Lepisosteus oculatus: one gene and its partners. The protein of the gene in region 3 interacts with the protein of the main gene of each other region in a pairwise test. Links are inferred from orthologs where the notes say so. Each region holds a gene or a part of one and is shown on either strand. Other genes may lie near its edges.

Region 1 (7,508 bases), on a different chromosome or scaffold from region 3:
TTTCTTTACCCGAAGTTTCTGAGATGTGTATGAAATATTTACATCGTCTAAGTTAGTTCTGACACAGCTGTTGGCCGAATGGATAACAATACATGGAAAAGCCAATTTTATGAAAGGTTAAGGTTAAGAAGATTAAAATGGATTTCTGAATTAACATCTTTTTTTTTTTTCTGTTAATCCTAAATGCCTGTGTGGATTAAATCTTAAATTACTCTTCCTTTCAGGGGAGCAGTAATTCATCAAATTAGTTTGCAGATTTCATTGTACTGTATATAAAGACCCTGAAGCTAAAGTTTTAAAGGCGTATGTTGAATTTGCCAGTAAACGTTTATTTTGCATTGCTTGCCTGTCTTTATAATTGTACTGTTTCAACATAAACGGTACCATTATAAAACATTTTCTTGACAGCTGTATGACACGGTAACAGTGGGTAAACAAGGCTTGTGTTACCTTCTTTTTTTTTTAATGACATATCTATGTATTGCCATATACTGTATATAGACTCTCTTATCTTGAATCGTCACCCCAGGGTTACAGAATGCAAACCACTTTCTGTGTGTGTAAAATACAGTATGTGCAAGACATCTACTGAGATTTTAAGTAGCAAAATTCATAAGGTAATGTAACTAAAATACAGAAGATTTTAAAAATGAAAGCATCAAAGATTGATAAGAAATCTGGCAAGCTTGTTTAATTCCAAAGTGTAATTAATTCCTGGAACTGCTAAATTTCTATTCATTTTCTTGTATTTTACCATGATTGTTTTTTCTCTTTTTCTTTTCTGTATTGGCACCATTACTCAAAAGCAAGTATGTACATTAGAAGGTTTCCTCTAATGAGACTCAGAACTGCAAACTACTGTAACATTATTCTTTGTGCACATCTGTGACTGCACAAATACATTATATTTCATTCTTAAATTAACAAAACCCTGCAAAGTATGAAAGTGTATGATTTTCATCTGCAGGTAGCTGGAAACTAATATTTTGGTGACGGCATTCTCAGATTACTAAGAAATGTAAGCCTTAAATGAATTTAAGGAATATTTCAGAAAGAAACACTATATGGAAAGAAAGACAAAAGCTTCAGGGCTTCAGTTGCTCCTGAGAACGTTCACTTCAAAATCTTTAGCAGTTTTAGTTGTTGCTTTCCTTTCCAAGAAGCCTGTTCAATATACTGTATTACAGACAATAGATCCCATTCTAGTGATGTGGAACTTTATCATCCCCATCTGTTTTGTCTCCTTTTGTGCAACTCTGTCATTCTGAGTTTATGTTCAAACTCCACATCTCTATTGTGGAGAGGCTTGAGGGATGGATGCAGATGCATGGCAAAAAGAGACTGAAATTTACACCCGTGGGACAATAAATGAATATCAGTCTTCCAAACCATGTATTGAAGCTTAAACTATGTTTGACTCGTGTAACGCCTGACATTTTCTTTAGATATTAAGAACTCAGATTAAGGTTAGTCACAGTCAACAAGGGGCTTGGATTTATTTTCTCTAATTGTTATGTGCATATCAAAACCCCAAACAAAATAAAAAGGTGCCTTTGAGAGGACAGAGGGTTGTGCAAAGTACAAAAAGCATCTGTGCTACGATGTGAAATTCCCACACACACGAGGAAAGCTAGATCAATGACCTCTATATTCGAGGAAGCAACAGAAAAAACAAAAGGAATTAAATGTGCTGACAATGCCAAACCGTATTCATTTGCAGGGCTAAAATAACAATGTGTTATTTGGTCAAAGTGACTTATCTGACTTACATTGTTTATTGCACACAAAATTTTATAGTACAAACATTGTTAATGGAAGTATAAGCAACCACACCTTTTTTGTTCACATTTAAATCTCACCCAAACAAGCCATCATCACTTTTTCTGGAAATGATCAAAAAGTTGTTAGAGTGTTATGATATTTTAAATCAGTTTTTAAAGTGTCAAATTAAATAAATTAATAACAATTACACTGTGCAGTTTTCAATATTGATAATACACCTGATAATTAACAATACAATTGCATCACAAAATATAAACATTCTTTGCAGAAGTCTTTGATTTCAAAAGCTGTGGTAGTTAAACATCTAAATTATATATTTTGTTTATTATACCTTTTAGGTGCAAATACTCATATAGAACAAAGAAACACTCTCCTTATTTTTGTCTCCACTAACTCTAACTTTTTCTAACTCAAGGACTGATTCACAGGATTTGTCAGAAGGTGGAGTTAAATTTAGTGTTTTCTTGAAAGAAGCATTTCTGTAGTTCTTAGTAATGTAATCGCAAAACGGAAAAGTCTACTTCATTAATCAACTGTAGTCTTTCACAAATGTGTCTTAATATTGCTCGATGAAAAAGAAGGAAAACTGGATTGAAAATATTAAATATTAAATACTATACTATATACTATAATATTATATAAATTTGAAATACAAATATGGTATGTTTAAGAGGTTCGAGTGTGGGAGCTGAAGAGCAGGAACAAGGAGAGGTTAATTCCATGCTGGAAGTAGAAAGAAAAAAATATTAAAAATGCAACATTTCAGCTGTGGATTCTTCTGTGAGTATGTGAAAGAAGGATGGAGAGAAAAGGGATACAAGAAAAGGGGGCTTTAAGGAGAACACATAGAGGGTATGTAAGGATGGGCACTGCAGATGAAAAAAGGTGCCTCACTCCTTCCAGAATCGGGATGGTTTCCAATCCTGTTGTTGGAGCGGGGAGGAAACTCCCCAGAACCGGCAGCCCAGTGTTGTCCTTTCACAGCCTGAGGAACATATAGTGAGCCTGTCTCAGAATAAAGTTTTATATGATGTCTTTCAATGTCCAATAATAAAGTATGTTTTTTTTTTACTGTAAATGTAAATGATTTGTTCATTGTTTCTGCTTTGGCAACACTACTGTATAATTCATCAGTCAAGCCAATAAAGTTCTTTGAATCTGAATCTGGGTCCTCCAAAGACATGGAATTCGGTGGAGCAATGTTTAAGGCAGAAATCTGTAAATGAACGGAGAGATTTCAAGGATTGCAAGCTGGCAGAAGATGTGAAAAAGACAAAGTTCAATGTAATAATGTCTGAGAGAGGTGCAGTATATCAGGGAACTGTTGTCTTGGTGAAACCTTTGATCCTTACTGTTCACATGTTCTGCCTGAAACACATCGCCAGTTCTTCAGTGTTAATGGCAGTGCTGTCTGCAAGAGATCTATGAAACGAGATTGTGGACAAGCAAGATACTTCTTAGGTGACGTTGATACAATGATGAATTTGTTGGTGCTGCTACCTGCTCTAGCAATCTACTACAGCAATTTTACATCACTTCACCCACTTCCATCCATCTCTTTCACTCCTCTTCTTTTTCTGCACATACAAAAAGTAGGTATATTAGCCACCTGGAACTGAAGGTTTCTGTGTATTACAAACCTGCTGATGCACTCCATACCTCCTCTACAGCATGTTCTGCCTTACAAAAATCTATTTTTCTTATTGTTTCAAAGACTTTGTAAGTCAGTCTTGAGAGCGGATATCAACATCCTTTCTATTCTCACAATCATCAAAGAAAACATCTCCGTTGTTTTGCTATTTTTGTCCACTGTTCCCTTAGCCATCCACAGCTACCAACAGAAGCAGATAAATTGCCTAGAAATGCACATTCAGTAGCACATATACATAACTAGTGTTTGTCCCTAATCTCATTTATTACATTTCTCTTGCTGAAAGAGTCCCATCATTTACATTGTAAAAAACACAAAGATGTGTCGACTGTTTCAGAGAACGCACACATTTCTTTATGTGCATATTTAAAACAGATTACAGGTACGTAGGTGTAGCTATTGTGTGCTTACAGAAAGGAAACCCTGCTCCTCCTGATGACTTCTGTTCCCCTTTCTACATTTTACTGTTTGTTCTCTAACTACTAATGTATGTGGCTAAATAATGGATTACCATTCCTTCTGTACAAATATGTTCCAAGGAGCACAATTCCGAAAAACAGAAAAAATCTTGCAAAATGAGAAATAGAGAGACCAGTGATAGCCAACAGTATTTTTCATTCATTTTCAGTTTAATTGTTAGATTCGCTCTGCACTTTTAAATATATACAGAACCTATTTACCGCCAATATTGATAAAAAGTTATCTCATAATGTATGCCCATTGTCTCCTCCTTTTGATAGAAAATATTCAGTAATGGAAATGGTGTGGGTTACATAATAAATTAGCTTTGTATATTTGCACATTATATTTTTTAGAGTATATTAACACAAATACTTGATTAACAAAGAGAAATGATCATGTTTTAAAGTGTAATGAATAATAATGTAATGAATTCTGAGTTAGATCTTTTTTGTCCTCCACCCCACCAAGATGGCGCTGATATTCCTTCAGATACGTGACGAAACGCTCCTTTTTTTTAGAACCTCTATGGTGTTCAGCGCTTCACGCCGGAAAAGCGCGCAGGAACGTGAATACCACAAGAGAGCGTGGAATTATGGGCGTTTAACTTTTTGTGTTATTGAGGTAGTGTCATGGGCTGAGGATAATGGCAGAGGAAGCAGAGTCTGGAGCGGTTTCAGGCGAGGAAGACGATGCCGCGAAAGATGAAATTTGGTGCCTGAGAAGAGTCGGAAAAAGGGCTGAGTGGCTCCGTCTGCCCGAGAAAGAAGAGGTCTTGTTCTCTTACCTCTCATTTACTCTTTCAGTACTAAACACCCCTCCCCCTTCACACTTTTAGCTAAGTGGCGTACCTGCAAAAATGTCTTAATTGTATTTTGAGTCGTAAAAAGTTGCAAATATGATCCTAATCACCGGAGCTGCGTGCTTCTGTTTTCAAGTCTTTTACTTTTTAATACATCTCATGTGTGTTTTGTGCCGAATGACGATGATTGCGGAGGGATGGGGTTACATGGGATCGCAATAGAAGGTGTTTTTTTAGTTATGCAATAATATTTTTTTCAGAAGCATATCCATGTTTGTATTCTGGGGTGTTTATCACTGCAGAACGGAACTCGTCACCTGAAAGTGATGAAAATGTGGAATTGGTGAAGTCCCCTAACTCCTGTTTCCCCGGTTTACACATCTACCTGGATCCGAGTGTAATTGAAACACTAGCGACTATTCCTTGCACATACATTTACATGTTTAAAAATACAAACAGATAAATAATTTGTTTATTTTGTTATACCTATCTGAAAGCCCACCCTCTTCATCGTTTAAAGGATCAAAATAACATTTGTCTTCGTTAATCGCCTGCATACTATTGGTACAATTTTAAAAAGCACGTTGCAATAATCGGATTTAGATGATTTAAGCTTTCAAACAAAAATAAACTCCCTTCAAGTGGCGCATGTATTTTGCAACTGCACTAGTAAAGAAATCTTATCTGAAGTTCCTCAGTGCTTGTCAAGTTGTAAAGTCAAGCTACATTTTAAAGTTCAGGAGAACAGTAGTAATTCTTTGCCTAGAAGCCCTCAGTAGTAAACCTTGATTTTTAATAATGCCTCTTCTTGTCTTAGGTGACACTTGGGCGAAGCTTTGATGTCACTTATCAAACCCTGTCAAGGAGCTGTCCTTTAATGATTTCCAGAAACCACTGCAAATTCAAACAAAATGAAGAGGGACATTGGACAGTGACAGATAATAAGGTAGAGCCTTTATTTCAGTTTCATACTATGTTGGGTATTATTTGCATAGGTTTTGGATTTTGTGTTTCAATTTCTGGTAGACTGCTAATGGTCCCATAGTTGTTATTCTGCCTGAAGACACTGTGAATGTTGGCCGAACATTCCTGAGATGTGGTTTGTGAATAGATAAGATAACAGATAAGATCACTTTATTGGCTATATACAGTTTCTTGTAATAGGAATTTGTCTTTTTGCATACCCCAACTTGCTCTCCATCAGACACACAGACAGGGAAAGAGGCTTGGGGTCAGAGCCCGGGGTCAGACATTTATACGGCACTCCTGGAGCAGTTGGGGTTAAAGGCCTTGCTCAGGGGCCCAATGGAGACGGATTCCTCTGCCGGCCACGGGATACGAACCGGCAACCTTCCAGCCACAGGCACAGATCCTTAACCACAAGGCCACTGCCCCGCCACACTAAAAATAATATTTAGTTATAGTTGACCTATAACTAAATATTAGTATGGGTTGGTTTTGCTGCATATGTAATATGATCTCTAGTATTATGAAATGCAGTTTGTACGTGCATTTATGAATTAATAAGAACATTAATAAAATGATGTACATGTTCAGTATTTAATCAGGTTATTGTTCTGCAAATTGTAGAATTGTAGAAAAATCTTAGAGGTGTTTCCTTGCATAGCAAGTGACCTAAAGCTAGCGCTGGATTCCATAAACCCTCCTGTAGCATTTTTTCAGATAGGTACAGATATGTTATGAAAAAGACCAAATGAAAAAAATGTTGTCATATACACACTTTACAGTGATAAATCGTAATGCTCTGAAGTATTGTTTTCATAAATCACTGGACATCATAGAGTTTGTCGCATCAGGCATCGCAAGATAAGTATGAGCCTTGTTTTAGACTAATATTCCACTTGTGAATTGAATTCACAAAAAAAGATGAAGTCCCCACTGTGCAGAGGAGTAGACCAGTTTCTGAAATAGACTCCCCCTTTCAACACTGCCTCCTTTCCTAAGCATTAAATTCAGGGTAAAAATGGTTCTTAGAGATTAACAGTTTAAAATGTTCATATAACTTATTGAAACTTAAATCAAGTGATCTAAAATCTGCTAACCCTTACATTAACCGTTAATAAACAGTTACTATAAATGCCTAGTTAAATACAGTAGTCTAGTCGAGACGCAAAAATAACATTTATATAAAGCCTTGATCATTTTAAAACCATTTAAAAAGAGATTTTATTTTCTTGAATGCGATTAATGACGATGTGTTTCTGTTGCCTTACAATATGAATAATTTGTTCACCGATCTGAATCCAAGACAGAAACAAAATTATCCATATAATCCAAGCTGTAGAATTTTGAAATACAGAATATTTCTACATATTAATATATACCTAAATATATCTACAAAAATACCTGCTGTATATTTCTGTTAGGATCAAATTGCAGTGTTTTTTTTTTGTTCCTGTAGACGCCATTAAGAATATAATAAAGCAATTAATGTAATATGTATCGAAATGTTAGAAGAGGTTACAGACAAGAGGAGGCCATTTGGCGCCTCTAGCAAAATTGGTGTTAATGTGACAGAACGGACAGCAACACATTTGTGTAAAGAAAGAAGCAAATGCTTGGAGACGTATATCTCTTTGAAGCTTGATGGATTGATCAAGTTCTCCAATTTTTAGTCGGATACTGACAATTCTATTCATCAACAGCAACAGTTATTGTTTGTGACCATCGCCATCAGCAAGAGGTAGACTGGAAGCTGGACAAACCCCATGAAACACGTAGACCCAGCCAACACTACAGCTACAGCTTATGCCTCAGTCATTCTTCGCATGTTCACTGCTGATGGACTAAACC
Region 2 (8,102 bases), on a different chromosome or scaffold from region 3:
TTGCCGGTTGAAATAGCTGGGAATGCCAGCGTCCTGTACGATGCCCGAGTGACTCATCTGTTAGGCCTGTGTCTCGACGCTGTCCCCCAGGTCAGATCGAGCTGTATACCCACCTGCCCGTGATGAAGCAGCTGGTGGAGCAGCTACAGCAGTGGGAGTTCCGGGTGTGCGGCGTCTTCCTTGTCGACTCGCAGTTCATGGTGGAGTCCTTCAAGGTCAGGAGCCAGCACCGGGACACCAGCGCCCCCAGACTGCCAGGATCCCCGTGAAATATCACTGTCTTTCCTGCAGCTCTGCTACCTGCTCTTTCAAATCTGTGCACATTATGTGAAGGGCCAAATGGCTCTAAACCTGACAAAAAAGAGTGGAAGTAAACGGACAATAAAAGGATTAGCTTGTTAAAGTGGATCTTGGTTCTAAACTTTCAACACAAGTTTTTACCAAACCACCAAGAAACTCTCCATGTTTAACCTGTTTTGCTAATCTCAGATCACAAGAGTACCAGGATTTGAAGTGGTCTTTTTGACTGTCCCCATTTCCTGCAGTAGAAACATTCGGTTCCCTAGCTCCTGACGTAGCTTCAGAAATCCCGATGAAGATCATATATTTTAGAAACCTGGCCTCTGCTCTTTGTCTGTCGACATGGCCGCCGGTCTTTGACAAGCACTTTCCCTCTGATTGCTTTTCCAGTTCATCTCTGGTGTCATGGCGGCTCTCAGTGCCATGGTTTCCCTGGAGATCCCCCAGGTCAACATCATGACGAAAATGGACCTGCTGAGTCCAAAAGCTAAGAAGGAAATTGAAAAGTAGGTTCAAGCCATGGGGAGCAGAGAGTTTTAGCAAGTCCTAGAGTCATGAAGAAGCGGTAGTGGTGAAGTAGAGCACATGTAAAGAAAAACTGTGTTGTCAAATCTGTTGCTCACCTGAGGTTGACAGGTTTTGTACAAAAGCGAACCAATACTGCGCTTGAGTCAGTGCAATCTTGGTTTGTTTTTATTCTTTTCATTCACTTTGTTAGGTCTTTAAGTGAGAATTTGCTTCAATGGTTTCCTCCCTGTGTGGGCTGTGTGGGGGTACAGTGGCCAGCGCTACTACCTCGTTGCTTTGGGGTGCTGGGCTCAGTTCCAGACCTCAGGTGCTATCTGTGTGTGTGTTCTCCCCGTGTTTGTGTGGGTGTCCTCTGGGTGCTCAGGTTTCCTCCCACAATCCAAAAACATGCTGGTAGGTTGATTGACTTCCTGGACAGCTGGCCCTGTGAGTGTGTCTGTCTGTCTGGCTGAGCCCCTGCTGGCTGGGGAAGGATTTGCCTCCTCCGTGACCCTGGATTGGAAGATGCACTTAGAGGATAGATGGATGATTAATTTTATTGTATAAAGGATTAAATGTTAAAAAAGAAAAGGTCCTTTACATAGTCATTCTTTTTTTATTGTTAACGTCAAGTCAAAAATAATGGAATTTTAACAAAGGTTTTGCTACCCCCTTTGTGTTTGTAAATTACTAATGTGTTGACTTTTCTAGCATTTTATTTAAGAATGGTAAAAAGGATTTGATATTTTTCCTTCCATGTCTTTTAGATATTTAGACCCAGATATGTACTCTATGATTGAAGATAATTCTCTCACGCTAAGAAGTAAAAAGTTCAAGAAGCTGACTAAGGCTATCTGTGGTTTGGTAAGAGCATTTAAAATTCTGCATATTCAGTGAATAATGTATTCAAATATATATATGAAGAAAAGTTAAATTTATTATTAATTCATAATTATAATTAATTTACCTTCACAATAATGATCTGCCAACATTATTTCCCTGAATTTGTGATGAAGGAATTGGGGATCTTCCTCATTTCAAATCCATAGCTAAACAAAAAACACAGTTTTCCTAGAATCTCACAACCTAAAACTTTTTGGCTTTCCTTTTTTAATTTAAACCCTAATAAATGTGTCTCATTTCAGATATTGTTATTGATAATACAGTGCTTTCTGCATTAAAAGAAATAGAGGATATTCGATTATTTAAACAATTACCCACATGTCCTTTCTATTTGGATACCACACTTTCTCCTCTCATGGGCAGAGAGTCTAAGAAGGGTTACAGTAAACTGCATTACAGTAGTAATAGCAAAGGTACAAAAGTGCTTTGAATTACTGAAACAAGATGCAGATTTGCCAAGCATCGGAGGCAGAAAGACTGGCACCTAAATGCATTAGATGAGCAGGTGGAACAGAAAAGGAGCAGAAAACATCTGTTTGTCGGACAGGAATGCAGTGAGATGTCAAATAAAATCTGTCATTACACTGGGTGGCGGGTGTGTCTGAGCTGTCCTGGGGTCTCTGTGTGCAGATTGACGATTACAGCATGGTGCGGTTTCTTCCCTTCGATCGCACAGACGAGGAGGGGATAGGCATCGTGCTGCAGCACATCGACTTGTCCATCCAGTACGGGGAGGACCTGGAGTTCAAGGAGCCCAAGGTAATTGATGCAGCAGTCACCTGCTGCTTGGAGATCCGTGTTATTTAGCGTTGTGAGTTGAGCTCTGAAGTAAACACTGTTCTCGAGAAATGCATTCTGAGATATTTACAATCATAATGAACCTTCAGGATTAATTTTGGAGATTGTGTTATTCATAATATGCATTTTTTGTATTCCTCATATTCAGTGAAATCAAAACCACTTTTAGATACTTTTGTCTTAGGTCACAGTGTAGGTTGTGTGCCCTGCTGTTTTTTTGGAAGCGTGTATCCAAGTTTAACTTCCCACAATTCATTGAAACTGCATTCAAACCTCTTTAAGTAACAAGTCTGTGCCCTTTCTGCAGTCTGATTGTGTGGGAACCTTACTGTTGTCCATTGCAGGAGCCTGAGCCTGATGAAGACTCCAGTCCCTACTGTGATGAGTTCTTCCACGACAAACTGGGGGAATAAGATGAAGAGAAGGAAGGAGAGGCAGCAGATGCCGGCCAGTGACATTCTGCTTTGGCTCCTCATCTCCTGAAAGACTCCGAACAGGACTCCCGCACTGAGCCGATGCCTCCGTCATCTTTTAAATGTCCTTCTGTTTTATAGAAACGGAAACCTCTGATATCTACTGCCTATGTAATGCCGGGTTGCCCAGCACGAGTCTCATGGTCCTTACCTGGAGTAGCTTGAAAAAGGTCTTCAGTTATCTGATTCATTTCGTCCGCTGTCAACCTGACAAGCCTGGTAGGAAGAGGAGGACTAGGGTCTCAAGTGAACACACCCTCCTGCCCCCAGAACTCTTGTTGCGTTGTTGTCAGTTCCTTGGCAGATTTTATTTAGGTTATTTATTGTTTCACGGCAAATAGGGACTTTTTTCTATCCTTTTACACTGAACTGAAACTTTGTTCAAACCAACCAAGATGGATTTTTAAAGACATTTGTCTTTCCTGTTATGTGGGCGTTCAGAGGTACAAATGTTGTTTTGCATTTTATTTTTTAATTAGATGATTGAAATGTAAAGAGTTGTTTAATAGTAATGCTTTTTATCACTGCAGTAGATTCCAGCATTGGCCCTGGGGTGCCCCAAGTCTTTCAGACATCACAGGACCCATTAACCATGAATATTCTTAATTATTCCAGCAACTGGTTGTGTTGTGTTGTTTGGGAACCCTTGCATGTCTTTCTCTCCAGGATCAGAACTGGACTTCTGAAGTATGAGACCTTCAGCTTTGGCACAAGGGTCTGGGTGGAGAGCTATGGGCCTGTGGAATGTATGGATTTTTTTTTAGTGTGGGAGTTCATGGTTAGTAATTTAATTTAATCTTGAATTGCGGTTTGGAAATTTATATTTTATTAATAAAATAATTGACATTGAAACAACCTAGAGGGTGCAAATGGTAACTGAGGGGAAGTGTATTTTAAATCAGGGGCCAGATGGCACTTCTGATGTCAAGGTTTGTAGGAGTCTGGTACAAGCTACCCAGCTGCAATACCGAAGCTGAGACACTGGTTCCCTTCAGAAAACAGCTGCTTGAGATTCTCTCATCAATTAGCTACTTGCAATGACCTAGCAATCAAAACAAGACGGATGGACTGCAAAGCCACCTCTTGATTCTAGCATTGCACATGATCTAGAGACGTGTTTCTACGTTTTCTATTCTGAATCACACATCTTAATTATCCTTTATAATGCTATAAATGAGATATTTTACAGTACATTATTTCAACACAGTACAGAAAATCAATTTCCAGCTTCCTGTTTTTTCATAGAATGGTTTTATGCTGAAGTTACTTTCGGTGCTTCTTGCACAGTTAACTTAAGACCTTTTGGAAGAATACAGCATCTAATCTGATTAAGAAAAAACACTGCAAAACAACTCCCACACATTATCACATGCTCTTTATTTTAAAGGATAATAAAACTAATGGATTAATATATATATATATTATGACTCAAGATAATTCAAACACAATGTCAAAAGACAGCACATCTTCCAGTCGTGATCAAATTCATTTAAATGGAAAAGACAACATCACTTTAATTTCTATTTAAATATATTCACATAAAGCCCTTTCCAAGATACGACAATTCTGTTAACCACTGATTTACTTTTAATTGAACTCCAGTAGGTGTTCAGTCTGCCAGTCTTGGTATCGTCTCTGTATGTCATAAAGATAAAGGGACCCGTATTATTAAGCTACACCTGTCACGACTGCTGTGACTAGAGCAATTTAAAGATATGGGTTCTCAGCAGTGTATGGTGTCCCAGGCCTTGAGGGTGGTCCAGGGGTGTAAAACCCGAGCTCCTGGAAAGTCTCAGTTGATTAGGTCTCGCTAGCCAATTAAACAATTAAGCTGATTATTTTCTATATAATAATCCAACATGTTGGATTTTATTTTCTGTTTATCCGTGTACTTAACTGTATAATTCGCAAATCGAAAACGAAAATCAGTGAGTTTATTTTAGCTCAGTGCTTTTAAGGATTTCGATACAATTGATCTTCTGTAAAATCTCACGTTTTAAGAAAACGTACATCGTGCTGCGCGCCACCTTGTGGCAGTGCGGTGCACTTACAGCTGGAAGGTGGAAGCGGTTTGTCACTTCCTGCTGGTGCAGATTCTGGGTGGGACAGCGGAAGTGTTGTGCGCCGGGTCTGACAGCATTTTATCGGTGTTAACAGGAGAAAATACAGGTTCAAAATGCCGGTAAGTTTTGCTAGTTAATTTAGTTCATGTTCGTAGGTGTATGAGCCTGCTTTTAATTACTGTTGGTTTATTCCATGGCTTTTTGTAGTTAACCAAACGGATGTGAAAAGGCACTGGGAGCGACTACAGTAGTCAATCTATAGGTTTTTTTTCAGGAAGTGAATCGGGCCCAGTAGGAATTTTAAATTATTCAACTTAACATTTTGGTTTTTAAAAGTAAAAAATAAGCTGCGTTGCACACAGGGAAACGAGGCACGTTTTGCACAGGGCAACGGAGGAAAGAAGTACCCGCACTTCAACGCATAGAAGCTTCATCTTACGGGTGTTTATTTGAAACACTTCCTAATCCCCAAGTATAAAATGCTTCTTTTTCAAACAACAGTCGGGGGTTAAAACTGACTTCCGACGTACTCGAATAACTTCAAGATGTATCATTTTTTATCCCACCAAAATATGTAATTTAGTTAGTTTGACGAATGTTAAATCCTCATTACCTTCAGCTGACAGGGCTCTGAATTGTGGAGTGATTTGTTTGTGTGCGGGGAAGCCGATCGTGCATGTCTGTTCTGTTCTGTGCAGGCTTACCATTCGAACCTGATGGACCCCGACACCAAACTGATTGGAAACATGGCTCTGCTGCCCCTGAGAACCCAGTTTAAAGGGCCGGCTCCCAGGGAAAGTGAGTACCCCTGAGCCTGGGTGGTCTGAATTACCCTGAAACCTGGAAGGTAGCGCGGCATGTGAACAGTGCGTCTTGTGTTGCTGATGGTTTTGCTCAGCTTTACGCGATGTTTACTCCTGTTCTCATGTCTTCATGTAATAATAATAATAATAATTGCTTACACTTATATAGCGCTTTTCAGGTAATGGGGTCTCCCCTCCACCACCACCAATGTGCAGAATCCACCTGGATGATGCGACGGCAGCCATAGTGCGCCAGAACGCTCACCACACATCAGCTATTAATGTATATTCCAGGTTTATCTTGTGGACAGGTGGATTAAATTATTCCAAAAAAAAAAAAACAAACGTCGATTTTACATGATGGCGACTGGACTGTCGTGTGTCTCTATGCACGGGCAGATATTTTCCGTCCGCTTGACTTTTCTGCGGTTTGTTCGCGTCTGCGTGTCAAAACCAGACCTGCATGGTTGTGACGTCACGACCCGAACGTCTCTGGCTTCCTTATTTGGAAAGTTTGCTCTTACTGAAAGTTTCTCTGATGCGAAATGTTAAGATTCGCTGCTATCATCATCGTTTGTTTGTTTTTTACCCATCACCATTTGATTTTTTAAATTCAGTTCGCTTAACATACACGCATTCTCCCCCATCTTAGCCAAAGATTCTGACATCATTGACGAAGCCATCTACTACTTCAAAGCCAATGTCTTCTTCAAGAATTATGAAATTAAGGTAAGTGAAAATACCCCCCATGTAGCACATGAGCACACACCACCTTTGCATTTATATTGTTAACGTACGAATAGAAACAAAACGCGTTCTTCTATTGAAAAGGAGTTTGTGTAAAGCACAGCAGTACGAGCCTGTTAAAATCGGAAACAACTTCTTCAAATTTCCTTTGATCCCTTAAGATGTGACGTTGTCCGTCTCTTAAACAGTTTTTAGTGTTCAGGCAAGTCGTCTTACACAAATGAATAGAATCATGAAACGTGAAGTTTCATTCTGACGGAAAAAGAGAGGGAAGGATCCTGGCTACTTGTCTGGTTTGACTAGTATTGCACTCAGAGAACATGCAGTCTGTGCAGTAAAATCATTCAGCTGTAATTTGTGCTCCATTGTAATAATGCTACATTATTTAATCAAACAAGATGATTAACTTTCCTAAATTAACAATTTTCGTGTGGGTGTGATTACCAAGACATTCTGTGGTCTGACTCGTTTTTTACGTTGTCCGAAATTGCTCATGAGGTACTGCTGCATGATGGGGTAACTGTTGCAGTACCCCTGCAGGAAGTGGGGATGGTGTGTTTTCCTGTGACCAGAGCACAGCTCCGCTCAGGAGTGGGCGTTTCCCTCTGCCCTCGGCTCACAGCTGCTTCTTGCCTCCTCCAGGAGGGAAAGGTGCCTACCTGTCTGGGCCTGTCTCAGTTGCAACAGGACCCCATGCCTCAGAGTCTAATCATAGCTCTCCATCTGGGCCCCACTGCAGCTCCTCCAGTGAAGTTCAGAAACTATTCTCCCTTCATTAATGCCCTGAGCTTGATCAAATAGAGAGACAAGAGCTGTACTGGGTATTTACCACAGTTCTTCCTTTCAGAGTTACAGCACGCTGTACTGTTCGTCTTGAATGTATATATTGGGGAAAAATATTCCTTTGATGTTCAATTACTGGTTGCCACAGTCAGGTTGGAGGTGATTTTGTCTATAAGAGGTTAAAGCACATTGTTCTGGAGGTTAGTAAAGTCAAAAAGGTTTGGACTTCCTAGTTAAATCAAAAGACTCAACTGCTTGTCAAAGAATGGAGCCAAGAAACACTGCTTTGTTTTTTAAAATGGGTTAAAAAGTTTGGTTTTGATTTCCTTTGCAGAATGAAGCTGACCGGACTTTAATCTACGTGACTTTGTACATTTCGGAATGTCTCAAGAAGCTTCAGAAGGTGAGAGAGGCACGGATCATGCAGTAACTTTCGACTGTAACACCAAACCAAATCACCAAATCAAAAATCTTCAGAAGACATTGCATGCATTGATGGTTGGGTCATTCTTTGAGGGCAAGGCCTAGAGCATTAATCAATCAGGATCAGAACTGCCCAGGTGAATGCACGCAGTTACCCAAGTGCTGTCCGAGCTAGAAGAAAGCCAGGTGACTTCTGCATCATAGGGACCCCTGAAACCTGCTGGGCTTGCAGTGCCAGTGCATTAAGGACAGCGTCTGTTCTGTCAGATGCCTAGTTCAGGTACTAGCACAATGCAACAGAA
Region 3 (7,403 bases):
GAATGGCCAAAGACAGAGAAATAGGATTTATTATACCAAAGCTGATATGATTTTTTTTATTTGTATTTGCAAATTTAAAGTCAAAAGGTTTTTCATTGCTGAGTGAATATGAAGTCATGGACAGCGAGTAAAAATACCACTTACGAAATATGACTTATTACAACATTATTGATCCTTCCCTACAGAAAACCTTACAAGATGATTAATTTCATATATGATATGGGTCATTATATGAATTGATTCATGTGCAGCAGTTCAGTTTTCATTTTCAAACTAGTTTTCATATGCCTTCAGAAACTAATACTTTTATTCCCTAAATGTCAGTGTATTTAGGGTCTGTGCATCTCAATAAAATATTACAAAACATGTTTCTATAAAGACATTTGTAGACAGTGAAGGCAGAAATTAGGTTTTTACAAACACTAAGCCTTCACAAATTTTGGGGAAATCTCAAATATGATAATACAGAAAAAAAGACAATATATAAATAATGGAACAAGTATAAATTAATATTAGCTGTTCAGCATTCTTCAGGTGCAAGGCTCAAAACTTCAACAGCTGACATGGGTTTCGTTTCTACTTTTCAGTGTACAATTAACCAAAAGTTTCTGCTTTGCAATCTGCATACTCTCAAATCTCTAGGTATAGGTATAGTGTTTTACACTGATGGAGAGGAGATGTATTTCAGATTAAAAAGCACATCCATTAAATAACTTAATTTGTTAGATAGTCATAAAAAATGGTAAGCACAGTAAATCTAAAGACTTGTGCAACATTTTTCACGTGTTTTTTTTTTCTTTTGACCGGGTATCATAAATGTGTAGGTAACTGCTATTAACCTGGGAGAACCCCTTTTCACTAATTTAAAAACTGTCACAATTTAACATCGCTCCAGATAACTATTCATGTTTACGTACGTTTATAAACGAGCTACAATAACTTTATCACAGCATGCATAAATGCTTGACAAAGTACATCAACACTTGTGCTGAACAGAGCAACAGAAAAACATTTTACAATTTAGGAGACTTTGTTGCTACTAAGCCACTTTAATGCGACAGTGATAAAATGCCGCATAGTAAACCTTACAGTAATTCTAATGAATCGCGTCTCTTTCTGGTATCCACAATGAAGTGATTAAATAGATATGTATGCAGGAATAAAGATCTTTTAAAAAGCTGCGTGTGCGTTTTAACAACTGCTGCATGAGAAAGGGACGAAATCTTGATGACGCATGATCAGGTGACAGCACAATAGATACTTCGCTGAGATGAGGACTGTTAATCGCAGGCTTCTGAAGTTCTTAAATTATAACTGCTATAGGCAGGGATTTAATAAGTATCATGATTTAATAAACAACCTCATATGAAAAACAAAAAGCCGTTTAACGAAACACAGTCCAGTTCAAAATGAATTCGATTGCAAGATTTTTTTTTTACATAATGTTTTCAAATTACCTCCTGTTGAAGTTACAAAGTTATAGTGAATGGTTCACTTCACTTGGCTACCTCTGCAAGAAGCTTGTCTTAGTTCACAACGACACTAACTCCCCGCAGCAGGTGAGTAAGGCAGGTATAGGGCGTTACAAGGCGAAAATATCCATAACGCCCTTGAAGGCTCCTTTTTGGAAACATACAGGCCCTGTATCAACAGGAACATGCTGTAACACTAATGCAGAAATTACTCAGTCGACTATTAGCGCCCTCGGACTCAACTGAACATACTGTAACTTATGGCACCCCCACCTCTCCTGAGATTCTCCTGATATATTTGAACATTCAAAAATTAACACAACTGAGTTTAGGCATCCCTTTAACCCCTGCCATCCCCTCGCTTTCCCAGTTTCTTAAACGCAATGACATTTTCCGGAGAATGTTATGAAAAAAAAAAACAAATCAACATTAGAACAAGCGACAGTACAGCGGCACTATCTTATTCTGCTGCTGAGTGATCCGAGTGGAGCAAAAACAGTGTTATGTAATGGAATCCCTCATAGAATGTGCTTTCCAGCTGACCGAACTTGCCAGCTCCATATTCGATGAGGAAAATAAACAGGCACCGCGGAGCGCAGAGGTTCCGGCTCGCGCTCCGGACGCCGTCGGACACGAACGCGGCCTCGGGGCTCCCCTGCCTTGTCACACCGACCTCCGGACAGCCAGTGCCAGGACAGCACGCTCCATATCCACGCTCTTAAACCCACAACCGTACACGCAAGCATTAACCTAAGACCAAGGGGATCCAGGCACTGTTGTTTTGCTTCACTTTAGTTCTCTTTAGAAAAAAAAAACCCAATGCAGTTTAGGCCGTTTTTAATGAAAAACTTGGCCGATAATTTGTTTTAAGATAATTACAAGAAGATCCCATACTTGTCTACAAGTTATAATAGTATGGACGAGACTAAAATCGAGTAAGTAAATGTTAAAACTTACGATGCATTTCCTGCCGAGGCAATTGAAGAGGCATTCGTTTTCTTGTGGGGTGAGAAGCATAGAGCTCACATTTGTGACACGCCGCGGCGGAGGGGGATGTTGGCTATTCATGATTGCAGGGGTAAAAAGCCAGACGAATATATGTATATAACACTAATTAAGGTATTTTATAAAATGTCTTCAGTCATTGATCAGCGTGGCCTTCCACCGGATCTTCTCATTGATGCTGTAGGTGCTTCTCTCCGAGAGGAATGCGACGGGGGTGGGGGGGTTAAATACTGTTCTGTTTCTGTAGTTTGGGTATTTAATGCAAACAATCCCTCGGCCTTCCGAAGTGCCCCAGAAACTTGGATCTCTCGGTTGGACAAAAACCTAAACTTTCATCCGAACTCCAACAGCAGCATCGGCAGCTCTATCCAACATGGCAGCAGGAAGAAACAACCACTAACCAAACGGGGGAATGCGGGAAAACATAGCGAGCTGGATTCAACTTCGTCCCTTCTTAAAGCTGTCCGGGGATGGTAAAATCAATCTTGATTGCAGCAGCAGGTACGCCGCTCATCCCTGATAGCAGAGAAAGCCAGGAGTGTAAAATTGCCCAGCGCCTCCGGAAACACTTCCTTGTGTCAGGGAATGGTCTAGCCCTGTTGGCCTGTGGATTTTGTAACAAATGCAGTATGCAGAGGGGTGAGCATTTAGCAGGGCGGGGACAAGAGGAGCGTGTTGCCAAGTTGGTGCTAATGTAAACTAAGGGGTGCAGTAAATCCGGACGTAATATAAGTCAAACACTTTGTGCCTTAGAGCAATTTTTGTATTTCTATAATTGTGTTAAATATGAAAATCCTACTCTGTAATCCTTTGTTATTTTCAGCTTCATTACCTAGGTTTTTAATAACATTTGCCTAGCAGACGCCCATACCCAGAGCCGCTTACAAAATATACAGTAATACACAACATACTTCCAAAACTTAATCAGCTTCATAACAACAGCAACAGCAGTGCAGTTGTAATAATAACAATTGTTTTTTTGTTGTTGTTAGTAGTTTAGTAAATAACTTACTACAAATTGACTTGCATCATAATTTCTGTGATGTCGGGTGGAGTGTCTTTAAGTCGCAATTAAAGGACATCATTTTTGAATTGTCTGACATTGTGCTGTTGAGGGCGCTGAAAATCAATGGATCTAGTTTAGACCACCATTTGCGTTTAACTTAATAGCATAACTAATGAATGTTTAGGGAGACGGGACAAATTAATTGGTGCGTTGAGAGCAAAATGGGAAACCAGGAAAGTAAATTTGCGTTTTGTGATATCTGTGCACTGCCATACTATTCAACTATGAAAGTCAATGCATTTTACACATTAGATACTGAATTTCTTCAATTCAATTCTTTTATTCCACTTTGTCAGCGAATACCTAGCCCCAGGGGTACCTAATCACGATGCCAAATAAGGTATCGTTCTATTTAAATGCCTTAATTCAGTTTTAAAGCAGATAAAGCACTCATTTTATAGTTTAGAACAGAATTATATCAGTCATGTTTGTCACTAGACTTCTCACACTTAAGCAATATTAAAGGACAGTTCTAGGAAATATTTTTTTTATAAAATGTCATGTTGCATTATAAACATTAAAGGTAAAGAACAGAAACCAACAGAAACTACAGTATGAATCCTCTGGGAATGGGGAAGAAAAAATTGTTTTCTGAGTCACATGAACATTCAGAGATCAGATTACCAGAATTTGTAATTGTTCTACAAATGGTATGCATCTTGTACTAATGGATGAATTTGTCAGATGTCTTTAATTACTGTGGTGATGATATACAGCTTCAAAATTTTGTAAAAATCCAGAGGTGGGGACAGAGAGGCTCCTACTGTAGGTTACAATTTGAAATTCCAGTTCAAAAACAGGTCAAATTATCTAGGTTTGTAACCCAGACTTAATTATACATATTTATACCTTCTAATGATACCAAGCTCCATTGAAGCAAATTTCATTAAGGTTCAAAATGGCTTTCTCAATAAGAGAGTGTACAGTACATACATATCATCTGCAAAGCTTTGTAGGAAGACAGAAAAGAAGCCTTTGTGTGAAGACAAATGATAAGAAGCAGTGTCCAGCAGTAAGAAAGTCAGGGTTCTGGATTCCAGCTGGAAAGTCAAGGGTTTTAACCCTGAATGGAACACTGCAGTTGCATCCTTGAGCATTAATCACAAATGCAAGTTTTTTTTAAATAATAATGTCACCCAAATACAAAAACAAATGTTGAGAAGAATGATGACCAGGTTTAGTAAGATAAAGCTCAATTTGTATGGCATAAAGAGAACATATTAATAACATTGATTAATTGTTCTTGCTAAATCCTTACGTTTTGTCCCTAAAATACTGAATATCAGCTAAAATCTATTGACTCTGTTAACTAGAATCATCTTTATAATTATGGATACATTACAACATAACCAATAGAATAAGTCTTCAACAGGTGTTTATTTTTATGTAATTATTATCTTATATATGGTACATAAATTCTTAACAGGATTTGTTTTTAATCTTTTACCACCGAAATAGCTGACTTGTTTTACTGTCGCACATCAGAATCCACTGATATATCCTTGTTACAGATTTGCCAGAGTAGGTGAGATGTTTGTGCATGCAGACATAATTAAGCAAGTTTGCAAACATTTTTTTGGATGAGCTAAAATCATCTAGGCTATGTCTATTTATGAGCTAAGGAATGGCATCAGTGAAAGACCATTCCTACTGTATGGAGCTTGGAGAGGAGCCTGTCCCTGCCTCAGAGGATTTAGTGTCTATATACTGTATAACTCTCCACTGCCTTTTTCATAAGAATTTACTTAATTTAATCTTTACAACTGAATTCTTGTCAGCTGTATATTCTTAAATGGTAAAATACTTATATTTGAATCTAATATCCCTTGTGATGTATTTGGCCATTTGAATGGTTTCATTCAGGTTTCTATTTGATTTTGCATTAATTTGGGCATTTTCTGCCTGTCAAAGGGAATTCAGCGCTTATTAATTATTTAACATAGTTTTAAAACCACTGTTTCCAATGTTATCCTTACCAATACTGAGAATGAGTTTTCTGAATCATAGAAATGCTAGAGGTTTAATACACACTTAGGATTATGTTTGTAATTCCTGCTTTTCTGGTAATGTTAAAAGGGTAGGGGTGTTATCTCAGTGTCCTGGCCAAATTTCCCATTGGCCTTTACCACTCATGGCCTCCTAATAATCCCCATCTCTCAATTGGCTTTATCATTCTATTCTCTTCTAGTCTTCTGGCGCACTATAACTGACGTCACATCATCCAGGTTGGTGCTGCATTGTTGGTGGTGGAGGGGAGCCCCCATTACATGTAAATCATTTTGTAAATCACTTTGAGCGCTATATAAGTGTAAGGACCTGTTGTTGTTATTGTTAATAATAATAATAATAAAAAAAAAATACTTTTTCAACAATGCAACAGTACTTTATGTTCATTATGTCTGAAAAAATGTTAGTTGTACATTTCATAATACGATTGTGAATATCTGTCTAATATAAACATAGCACTAAAAAATAAATGAATGCAATAAGAACAACTGTGTTTTATAAGCAAAATATACATTGAGAAAAAAAATATTTTGGACAATTTGTTAAAAAATTATTTTAAGCCAGTGTCTGCTCTTTTTACGAAGGACAATTTATTAATATATTTCAGAGAATTAAAATAATGTTTTTCCTCAATACTGTATATTCTAGGTGCTATTGACATTATACTGGCCTTTGTAAATAGTTTTTTACTGATCTGATGCTGTACAGAGTAAACCCCCCCAAAAAAAACTAATATAATCCCTCCAGCTGTAAGGTCTAAAGCTATAATTAAAATAGATTCTTTCTTTCTGGATATACTAGACCAAAGCCCCAATATATGATGATGAAATGTCTTTTCCCTGGAGTGTATAAAATGACATTTGCTTCTAACCACTCCCTCACGGATTCTTTGTCATCAGGAAAAAGGCAGAAAAAAACAGGAAAAACAAGGTGGTTTGGGATTATTTATATAGGGGAACCCTTTAAGAAGAAAGGAAACCTGAACCTGAGTATTAAAAATGCAGCCTGTGTTTCTGAATAGACCATAATATAGATTCTTAATAATCTAAAAAACCAAACACTGAGTACCTACCTTTTTTTTATGAAATCAAATAACTTTATCTGTTTTATTATTCCATTAAATAGTAATACTCAATCAAAAGAAAACTGTTTACTATTTGGAATGGAATATTATAAGCTATTTACTTAAAACTTTATTAAATTACCAGATAGGTCAATTTAAAGCAAATTCCCATTTAGGTCATCCCATTTATGACCTAGGAGGAACCCTTTTCTGGAGCACAGCATTTAGGAGAAATCTTAGTGAGATACATTGCACAAGGGTACAACAGCAGAATATGACATGAGATCTGAATCTATAATCCTACTGTTTCAGAGCCTTCACCACTAGTCCACACTGTTGCCTCAACTTAAACTGTTGCATTTTCATTTTGCATCAGTGTACCATGACTGCATTTCAGACAGCTGTGTGTAGTTATCACTACATATGTGTTGGTTTAGGCCTGAAAATTTGGCCATTTGTGTTTTCTGTGGTTCACTGCTGGAAGTCATTTTGGGTAAAAATACATGGGGCCATTTGACAGTAGTAGCATGCCAGCTGTAGGCCAGTACCAGCTTCTTCAGAAACAGCAGTATGTCAGCTGTTGGCCAGTAACAGCTTCTTCATAAAGAGCAGCCTGGGCATGTGTCTCTTATTACTAATATGTGTGGACTAGTATGGATCCATATAATCAGAAATATACTGGGAAAATACTGGTTGCACATTCTGTGCTGTCTCAACTATCACATGTGGCCTAGTATTGTGTCAGTATCACTTGGTTTATATTCTAGACCATTAGAATATTTAGACTTTA

The links.
Region 1: the proteins of wasla (region 3) and rnf8 interact in binary tests that used the Homo sapiens proteins (3 or more experiments, as listed by UniProt). The two-hybrid records come from large-scale screens. The link is inferred for Lepisosteus oculatus from reciprocal best matches to the Homo sapiens genes WASL and RNF8.
Region 2: the proteins of wasla (region 3) and arpc3 interact in binary tests that used the Homo sapiens proteins (3 or more experiments, as listed by UniProt). The two-hybrid records come from large-scale screens. The link is inferred for Lepisosteus oculatus from reciprocal best matches to the Homo sapiens genes WASL and ARPC3.

Annotation. Positions count from the first base shown.
Region 1 is NC_090697.1:43,194,156-43,201,663, forward strand, and holds the start of rnf8 (E3 ubiquitin-protein ligase rnf8), read left to right. Parts: upstream 1-4,457; 5' UTR 4,458-4,538; coding exon 4,539-4,664; intron 4,665-5,511; coding exon 5,512-5,640; intron 5,641-7,508. UniProt on the Homo sapiens protein: E3 ubiquitin-protein ligase that plays a key role in DNA damage signaling via 2 distinct roles: by mediating the 'Lys-63'-linked ubiquitination of histones H2A and H2AX and promoting the recruitment of DNA repair proteins at double-strand breaks (DSBs) sites, and by catalyzing 'Lys-48'-linked ubiquitination to remove target proteins from DNA damage sites.
Region 2 is NC_090717.1:10,186,501-10,194,602, reverse strand, and holds the start of arpc3 (actin-related protein 2/3 complex subunit 3), read left to right. Parts: upstream 1-5,051; 5' UTR 5,052-5,157; coding exon 5,158-5,163; intron 5,164-5,742; coding exon 5,743-5,842; intron 5,843-6,499; coding exon 6,500-6,576; intron 6,577-7,711; coding exon 7,712-7,780; intron 7,781-8,102. Other genes in the region: gpn3 (GPN-loop GTPase 3), read left to right, coding at 91-215, 691-806, 1,575-1,671, 2,341-2,469, 2,853-2,921. UniProt on the Homo sapiens protein: Component of the Arp2/3 complex, a multiprotein complex that mediates actin polymerization upon stimulation by nucleation-promoting factor (NPF).
Region 3 is NC_090702.1:38,463,014-38,470,416, forward strand, and holds the start of wasla (WASP like actin nucleation promoting factor a), read right to left. Parts: upstream 3,101-7,403; 5' UTR 2,541-3,100; coding exon 2,430-2,540; intron 1-2,429. UniProt on the Homo sapiens protein: Regulates actin polymerization by stimulating the actin-nucleating activity of the Arp2/3 complex. Involved in various processes, such as mitosis and cytokinesis, via its role in the regulation of actin polymerization.